Linked DNA regions of Macaca mulatta. The protein of the gene in region 1 binds, or shares a complex with, the protein of each later gene. Links are inferred from orthologs where the notes say so. Each region holds a gene or a part of one and is shown on either strand. Other genes may lie near its edges. The genes, in order: HRAS and PLCE1.

Region 1 (4,571 bases):
CCATGGTCCCTGGGTGGCTGGGCTCCAGCAGCCCTTCCTTCCTTCCTTGCTTCCGTCCGTCCTTCCTCCTCCTTCCTTCCGTCTGCACCTCCTCCCTGCATCCGGCACCTCCATGTCCTGAGCTTGTGCTGGGCGGGGCACAAAAGAGGCTGCTGATCGCAGGCGAGGAGACCGGCAGGGGTGGGGAGCCCGGGGTCATCCGGTGGGCGTGGCGGCCGCCCTGGGAGCCCCCTCACCTGCGTCAGGAGAGCACACACTTGCAGCTCATGCAGCCGGGGCCACTCTCATCAGGAGGGTTCAGCTTCCGCAGCTTATGCTGCCGAATCTCACGCACCAATGTGTAAAAGGCATCCTCTACTCCCTGGAAAAGGAGGAATGGGATCAGGAGGGACAGGCCTGTGGCCCCCTGCCTAGGTGAGGGGTTCCCTGCTGTGCGATCAAGCCGTGCCTGGCCCAAGGCTCCCGACTCCACCAGCCACTTCCCCAGGCCCACCACACACACAGGAAGCTGGGCTCTGGTCATCTCGAAGAGCCCAGGGCCACCTGCACCACGCTACAGCAGCCCCTCAAAGGTCAGGGTGGCCCAGGACCCTCCTGAACTCCAGATCTGGCCAGGGTTTGACCACCCTGCACCCAGCTCTCATCTGAGCTATGGCCAGTGTCCCCAGCAGCCTCACTAAGACTCAGAACCAACAGGTGCCCGTGGGACACTCTGGGGACAAGAGGGGCTGGGCCCCAGGGTCACCGCTCCGGCCTGGCTCAGGGCAGCTCTCCCCAAGGACCTCCGCCTTCCCCGGAGCTGTGTCGGCCCAGGACTGCAGGGCGTGAGCCCAGACCCCGGCCCTTGCCTCCCTCACTGCCCTGCCGTCCCGGGAGACTTACAGCGCGAGGGGCCGCTGGGTCACATGGGTCCCGGGGGGTCCCAGAGGGTCCCGGAGCTGGAGCCAGAGCCAGAGCGGCTGCCCTGTGTCAAGGGAGAGGGGTGAGTGAGTGCTGCTCCCTGGCTGGGGCGGGGCGGGGCGAGTCCCTGGCTACCTGTGGGCTGGAGAGCTGCCTCACCTGTCGCGTCTTGGCCGAGGTCTCAATGTAGGGGATACCATAGCTTCGGGCGAGGTCCTGAGCCTGCCGAGACTCCACGGTGCGTGCAGCCAGGTCACACTTGTTCCCCACCAGCACCATGGGCACGTCGTCTGAGTCCTTCACCCGCTTGATCTGCTCCCTGGGAGGAAAAGTGAGAGCTGGCTATAGGGGCTGCAGGCACGACTGCATCCAGGACATGCACAGAGAGGACAGGAGGCCCCTGTCTGGGCACAGCCGGCCTGACCCCACTTGTGCCTCGTGGGCTCCCGGGCCAGCCTCAAGGGGTTCACCTGTACTGGTGGATGTCCTCAAAGGACTTGGTGTTGTTGATGGCAAACACACACAGGAAGCCTTCCCCCGTGCGCATGTACTGGTCCCGCATGGCGCTGTACTCCTCTTGGCCGGCGGTGTCCAGGATGTCCAACAGGCACGTCTCCCCATCAATGACCACCTGTTTCCGGTAGGAGTCCTGCAGGAGGACAGAGCTCAGGGACCCCTCAGGACCCTCCATGCGGGGAGTTCACAATGCCAGCCTCTCCCTGTACCTCTCATGCCCCTCTCATGCCCCCTCATGCCCCTCTCATGCCCCCTCTCCTGGGGTGCTGAGACGAGGGGCTCCCCTTCTCTGGAGAAAGCAGGAGACAGGCCCAGAGCACCATGCAGGGCCAGGGGCCGCAGCCACCCCTATCCTGGCTGTGTCCTGGGCTCGCCCACAGCAGCTGCCGGGACCTGGACGGCGGCGCCAGGCTCACCTCTATCGTGGGGTCGTATTCGTCCACGAAGTGGTTCTGGATCAGCTGGATGGTCAGCGCACTCTTGCCCACACCGCCGGCGCCCACCACCACGAGCTTATATTCCGTCATTGCTCCTCAGGGGCCTGCGGCCCGGGGTCCTACAGGGTCTCCTGCCCCACCTGCCAAGGATGGTCCTGCTCAGCCAGGCCCAGGCCCCACAGGGCAGCTGCTGGCAGAGCCATCTGAAGAGCAAACCCATAGCGGGCCCTGGGTCCCAACGCCAGGCAGCAAGGACTGCAGCGTGCCTACCTGTGCAGCTGCAAACCAGCGCGGGGGAGGACTGTCGCCTCGCCCCCACTTGCTGTTAAGGACCCAGTGAGGGGAAAAGGGAGCCAGCCTCCAAAGGCAGGGCTGACAGCTGAGCGCTCTCAACCAAATTAGAAGCTGCTGGGTCGGCAGAAAGACTAAAGGGAGGCGCCCGAGGGCTGAGGTTACCGTCCTCCTAAACAGGTCTGGCCACGGCGGAGCGCGCCACGGCGTGCCCGGGCAGGCCAGTGCCAGCCTGCAGGCCCCGTGGCGCTGGTGCCTCCGACAAGTATTTGCTGAGCGCCTACTGCGTGCTAGGCGCCGCTGAGGGGAGGGCAGACCCGGGCAGCGCCCCGCGCCCCCGGCGGGGAACCGGGGGCATCTTTCAGCCACAGAAAGCTGGAAAAGACAGAGGGGCTCCTGGGAAGCAGGGGCTGAGCCACAGGAAGGGGCCGAGAGGCGGCGCGGGAGACCCGGAGAGGGGAAGGGCCCCGGGGCTGAGGCCCCCGGCCTCGTCCGCGACCTGTGATGCTGAATCGGGGGTGCCCGGGCGTGCCGTGGCCGCGGCCGCCTCCGCCCAGACGCGCCTGGTTATGAGGGCGCCGGGCCCGAGGCTCCCGGGGACGCCGGCGTGAGGACCGTGCCCAGAGCGAGGCCACGGGCGGGGCCCGGATTCCCGCAGGCCCCAGGGACTAAGGGGCCTCAGCCCGCCCCCGCCAGCCGCAGCCCCCGACGCCCGCTCACCTGTGCCTGGGGGCCCCGCCCGGCCCGGCCCCACCCACCCACTACCGCCGCCGCAGCCGCTCACGCCCGCCGGTCCCGCGCCCCCGGCCCGCGCCGCGCGTATGGCTGCCGCCTGGGGGCGGGGAGGGCGCGCGGCCCGGCCGACCCCGGCCCGCACTCACCGCTCAGTGGCGCGACTGCCCCCGGGGCCGGGGCCGAGGCCAGGGCGGGGCGGGGGCGGGGGCGCGCGGTTCTCCCCGCGCATGGGCTCCGTCCGCGGCGGGTGCGGCTGGGGCTGCAGGCGCAGGGAGCGGGCGGCGGAGACTCGACCGGGCTCGCGCACGCCCCACCCCGCGCCCGTCCGTCAGCCCGGCGCGACCTACCATTGGCCGCGCTACACCAGGCCCCGCCCCGCCCCGGTTGGCTGAGCGGCCCGTCTGTCAGGAGCCGCGGTCGGGCAGGGCTTCCGGGAGCAACGCGGGAGGCGGAGCCAGAAGGGCCGCGGCCTCGGGGGGTTGGGCTAGGCCGGCGAGCGGAGGCAAGCTCCGGGTTGCTCAAGGAGGGCGAGGGAGCAGGTGTCTGGGGGCCTGCGGCGGCATATCCGAGCAGGGCCGTGGACTCTCCCGGGAACAGGCCGGCGAGAGAACCCGACTCAGCGGCGCCCGTGCACTCGAGGCCCTCCCTGCGTCCGCAGCGCGGCGTCGCCCACCGCGGAGGTCCCGGGGCTCCGGCTGAGGAAAGGCTGGGATCCGTCGGGACCAAGGCGGGCCGCTCGGAGCTGAGGGCCCCCGGGTGGCCGCGGGGTCCGGTTGCCCGGCTCCCCTTCCGCGCAGGTGGAGTGGCCCCGCACCCGGACGGTGCGCACCCCGCCTCCTCCGCGCACCCCACCTACCACACGCACCCCAGCTCCCCTACTCCCACCTCAGCCCACCCCGAGGACGCCTTGCAGCTCCGGTGGGGTTTCGAGCGGCAGGCGCAGCCGTGCTCCCTGGGGCCAGGCGTGAGAACGCCCCCTCCACCACTTCTCTTACTTGGGCCTGCGTGGCAGGCGACCCTGCCCGCTCAGTCCCCCCAGACTTGAGGTTCCAACCATGCAGAAGCTCAGCGTGGTGCAGTTAAACGGTACCTACAGGTTGCCACAGGAGAGCGAAGTGCCCAGGGCTCACCCCAAGCACAAAGACCACATCCTAGCTCTTTCAAACCCCAAAAGACGTGTTTTTTTTTTTTTTTAACATTTTTTTAAATTGCAAAGGAATCAGAAATACATTCTCATTAAAAAGCAAAAGGGCCATCCTGGCTGACACGGTGAAACCCCGTCTCTACTAAAAAATACAAAAAACTAGCCGGGCGAGGTGGCGGGCGCCTGTAGTCCCAGCTACTTGGGAGGCTGAGGCAGGAGAATGGCGTGAACCCGGGAGGCGGAGCTTGCAGTGAGCTGAGATCCGGCCACTGCACTCCAGCCTGGGTGGCAGAGCGAGACTCCGTCTAAAAAAAAAAAAAAAAAAAAAAAAAAAGCAAAAGGGGCCGGCCGCGGTGGCTCACGCCTATAATCCCAGCACTTTGGGAGGCCTAGGCAGGTGGATTACTTGAGGTCAGGAGTTCAAGACCGGCCTGGCCAACATGATGAAATCCCGTCTCTACTAAAAATGCAAAAAATTAGTCGGCTGCAGTGGCGCGAGCCTGTAGGCCCAACTACTCAGGAGGCTGAGGCAGGAGAATCGCTGGAAC
Region 2 (4,260 bases), on another chromosome or scaffold:
CTTTGAAACAATCCTCTAGGGAAGGATTTTCTGAGATGGTGAAAATGTTCTATATCTGCACTGTCCAATACAGTAGCCACTAGCTGCATGTAGCTTTCAAGCACTTGAAATATGGCTGGTTAATTTCATTTAACTAATTTCAATTCAAATGTAAATAGCCATATGTGGCTAGTGACTACCATATTGGACAATGCAGCCTCCGAGGGCTTGGTTCCCAATCTGGCCCATAAAAATCTATTCAAGCCATAACACAGATGAATTATAGCCTCCGTAAAAACCCTGCATTCTGCATCCAGGGAGCAGAGAGGAACACAAGACGCTAGAAAGAGTTCTGCCCTTCTTTGTAGGCCACATGGTCGGCCTATAACAAAATGCATCTTTGATATCTTCTTCCTCTCTTTCTTCATTCCCTACTCCTCCATCTCCAACTCTCCTCTTTGGGCCTTACATAATTAAATCACACGCTTCCCTAAAACCCTATCAGAACCTTCCAGCCCTCCTCCAGAAGCACCATACTCCCCAATCACCTGTCTTCCCTCCCCTCAACCAAACCCCTACTTGCTCAATGCCACACATCTCAACTGAACGTTGGGAGGAAAGCAACTTCAGCAAACAAATTCACACTCTAAGCTGCTTCTACTGCTTTTGGCTTTTTCTCTGCTTCTGAACCCAGAAGCTCTGTTTTGTTGTTCTTCCACCGCAGAAGTAGTTCCAGCAGAGAGAGAAGGCATTAGGACCATAGCAACTGTCCTGTATAGACACCTGTCAGCCAGGCGTGTGGAACACACACGCACGCGCACACACGTGCAGCACAGCCTCACTCTGTGCAAATCCCTCCTCTTGCCCAGGCATGGGAAACATCCCCTGCTGCCTACTTTAGAAAACTCTTCCACCATACACAGTAGTTTTTCAATCTTCTTTTATTCATTTAGAAAGTTACAGGTAACAAATTGCACATCAAACGATTTTTTTTTTTTTGAGTATACAACAAAAGCCCAGCGAAGAATGTGACTAAGAATGGTTGTAAATAGAAAAAGAAAACCAACTGCCTTCATTGGAATCTAGCTTCTAACCCACTGGAGTATGGAATTTTTAATGACAGGTCAAACTTGGAGCACATCCCAGGAGTTTATGTTACTAAGAGGACTGGAAGAATGTCCCTCCAGTTCAATCTCACCTCTTACCTGGTCCCAAGGCATGAACCAAAGATGATTATTAGACAAGGCTCCCAGGTATAAAAGGAATTTCCCCCATGGGGCTGTAAATAAAGGATAGTGTTAATGGTAAACATTATACATTCCTCTAGCTCCTTTCAATTATATTGTCTCCTTCTCCAAAGTAGATATTTATGTTGTAAAACCAAAATCTTAAGATTTAATACTGGCCCACAATTATCTCTAAAGAGTCTTCTAAGTGCAAGCATTTTGCCATGAAAGCCACAGCAAATACCTTTAGTAGGGAAAATGAGACATCTACATAAATAACTCTCAGAAGGTGGAGAGCAGAAAGGGCCCTGGAGAAAAAATCCTGCAGGAATCAGAGCAGGCGGAGTTTGGCTGTTTCAGGAAAAGCCGCACAACACCAGCAAAACACAGTTTGAAGGATGGTTAGACTTTAGAGTGGTGGATGTGGGAGAAGATGTGCCATCATATGGTTTAGAAGACTACACCATGAGACATTCTTCAGAAAAGTATTCATGAAGACATAGATGCATGCAGTAACCTAGAGATAGTCCACCTCTCTCCTCAATGACAACTGGGCACCTGTACAAGCATCGATGGGGTCACCTGCTTCCACCTCCCAAGTCAGGCTCTCAAAAATTCTCCCTAGGGGGGTCAAGCATTCTTGGCCACAGTAGCGCCCATTCTGTGGCAGTGGCCCTGCCTTACCTCTTCGGGGGTATAAGAAATATGAAAACACACCAATCCTGCAGAGATCTAAAAGACCTACAGGCAAATTTTGCATAATGCAACTGAAATTATGACCTTCGTGCAAATAACTTTTCGAAGAGTGAAAAGTTTTAAGTGAATCCTACTTAACATGTATTCAGGGAACTCACTATTTAAAATGACACTGATTAATCACTAAATGAGTCTTACAATGAATAATTGGTTAAGTCGGCTGAACCAAGTGTCTCATGGCTTCAATACAAAGCAAGGGGGCGAAAGCTCCCACAAATTTACGCTGTGCACCTAACATTCGCCACGACAGAAGACTTCTTGCTCTAGTGTTATTTATTACTGTGGCATTAAAGGACTTGAAGGAAAAGCTAGCTATTCTTCTAGTTACCAGTTAGAGCGGGACCAGGTCCAATATTGTATTTTCTAGGACTTGATGTACACAAATCTCTCCAGGAACAATCTCTTGAGCACTTTCCTTGAAATACTGCTGCTAAGCACTGCCACAAAAAGAGCTTATGATTTTCTTTGCACTGGCCCCTCCACACCGCACTCACAACACGGAGGGGTGACCTGAGGCAGACGTCTGGAGTGAAGGTACTGGCAGGGTGTCTTTTAGCCCCTGCGAGGGCGGCCTGCATGCCCTGGGGTACCACCCGCCTCGGGTCCCCCGGGAGGGCGAGGACACTCTTCCGCCAGGTACGCGGGGTCGGGCTGCTCCCTTCGGCGGGTCGACTGCCTTGGGAGAGAACGAGCCCATCCTTCCCCTTCTCCAGTCCTCAGGAACCGAGTTACAGAGTCGCTTCCTCACCTCTTCGCTCCTGGCGAGTTTCGCCGGCGTCCCCAAGCGCTAAGTCCCTCTGGGACCCGCCGTCCGCGCGCCTGTCGCTAGCGGCGCCGGGTGTCCCCGCTACTGTGTGTCAGCTGCAGAGCCGATGCCCAGGAACGCGCAGGAGCCAGGCAAGTGCCCGAGAGGCAGAGCCCGGGAGGCAGAGCCCGGGCGCGCCGCCGCTGCCCCTCCCGCCGCCCGCCGCCCGCCGCGTTGCCCACGTTGCCCAGCGTTACCGTGTGGACCCGCGCAGTTCCCAGTCCGCGCCCGCCGAGCTGTGCGCGCTGCCCGGACGGCGGCGGCTGCGCGGGCGGCAGCGGGGCCCCCGCCCTGGGCCGGGCTTTCCCAGAACTCGCCCGCCCCGGGTGAGAGGCCGCTAGCGCCGCCGCGGGCGGCCGAGCGGCCGGGGGAGCGGCCTGTGCCGGGCCCGCCCCCGGCTCCCGCCGTGCGGGGAAGGCGGGCGCGGAGCGAGGACCCGGCCGCCTCCCCCGAGCTAGCTGCTGGCGGCACGACCCCTTCCCAGACCCCTGACCCTGGCCCCTAGGAGCCATCCTTTCTGGCGGGAGCCAGAGAGAGCGCTCTTGGGGCGCCCGGCTCCGGGAAGGGCGGGAACTCTGCACACCTCAGGCGGCGGGAATGTACTCTCACACTACCCCAGGGAACCATCCCTGGTTGACAGATATGGAAACTGAGTCTCACGGCAGATAAATGACACGATCAAGGTCTCTGTAGTAGATGGCAGCACCAAGTCTCGAATCTGTTCTGTCACTCGTTCATTTAATACATATTCATTGAGCCCCATCAATGTGCCCAGCGTTGTGCCAGGCTCCGGAAATACTCCTTTTGCTGGTAATGCGGGGCCATCCAGGCCTGCGGACTCCTAATCCAGTACTCTTTCATTGCTCAAGCACACCTGAAGATCTTAACAGCTAGAAACCATAGGCTCTGCACAGAACCTCCTTAGCCGCTGGAGCGGCTTTTATGAGTCTTACGAGAGCCTAGGACCTGGAAAAAAATCAAATCATCATCCTCCTCCCTTTCCCCTAAACCTGTTCCTCCTGCCTCTACCTGTTCTAATGGAAGACCCTTCCCTAGGCCTGACCTCTTCTCCTACATCTGATCAGGACCCATTCCTGTGGCCCATATCGCCTCCGACTGTCCTCTCCCTTGGACCATATCAATTCTTCAAACCACCTCTGTATTATTCTTCCTCTTTTACAACTTTAATCTATGCAGAAACATTCATTGGCTCCCTATTGCCCTCCAGACTAACTCCCCATGGCTATAGTAACCCAGCATGCCCTGGCTAATAAGGATCACCCAACAGAATGTCTCTCCCACTCCAGCTCTGTACCTGAACTTAAGCTGAGCCTTCTACCCGGAGCATCACTGCCTCCTCCCACACACTTTCCTCCTGCTCATGTTTGACCCTTTCTTTCTGGTCCCTCTTAAAAGTGATCTCCCCTTCTTGGATGCTCCAGAACACAGGAGAGGTTGGAGCAAGAATGCACAGGAGGCCCAAAGAATCCTGCT

The links.
Region 2: the proteins of HRAS (region 1) and PLCE1 are in contact, whole or in part, in a crystal structure (PDB 2C5L), measured with the Homo sapiens proteins. The link is inferred for Macaca mulatta from reciprocal best matches to the Homo sapiens genes HRAS and PLCE1. Residues at the interface, in NP_001123914.1 of Homo sapiens: Ile24, Gln25, His27, Val29, Glu31, Asp33, Ile36, Glu37, Asp38, Ser39, Tyr40, Arg41, Glu63, Tyr64; in NP_057425.3 of Homo sapiens: Phe2138, Pro2146, Glu2147, Gln2148, Pro2149, Arg2150, Thr2151, Val2152, Ile2153, Lys2154, Lys2171, Tyr2174, Ser2175.

What each region holds. Positions count from the first base shown.
Region 1 is NC_133419.1:424,445-429,015, forward strand, and holds the start of HRAS (GTPase HRas), read right to left. Parts: upstream 3,042-4,571; 5' UTR 3,026-3,041; intron 3,001-3,025; exon of another isoform or gene 2,865-3,000; intron 1,994-2,864; 5' UTR 1,944-1,993; coding exon 1,833-1,943; intron 1,550-1,832; coding exon 1,371-1,549; intron 1,220-1,370; coding exon 1,060-1,219; intron 965-1,059; exon of another isoform or gene 883-964; intron 362-882; coding exon 242-361; 3' UTR 237-241; intron 129-236; 3' UTR 1-128. UniProt on the Homo sapiens protein: Involved in the activation of Ras protein signal transduction. Ras proteins bind GDP/GTP and possess intrinsic GTPase activity.
Region 2 is NC_133414.1:105,930,538-105,934,797, reverse strand, and holds the start of PLCE1 (1-phosphatidylinositol 4,5-bisphosphate phosphodiesterase epsilon-1), read right to left. Parts: upstream 3,038-4,260; 5' UTR 2,710-3,037; intron 1-2,709. UniProt on the Homo sapiens protein: The production of the second messenger molecules diacylglycerol (DAG) and inositol 1,4,5-trisphosphate (IP3) is mediated by activated phosphatidylinositol-specific phospholipase C enzymes.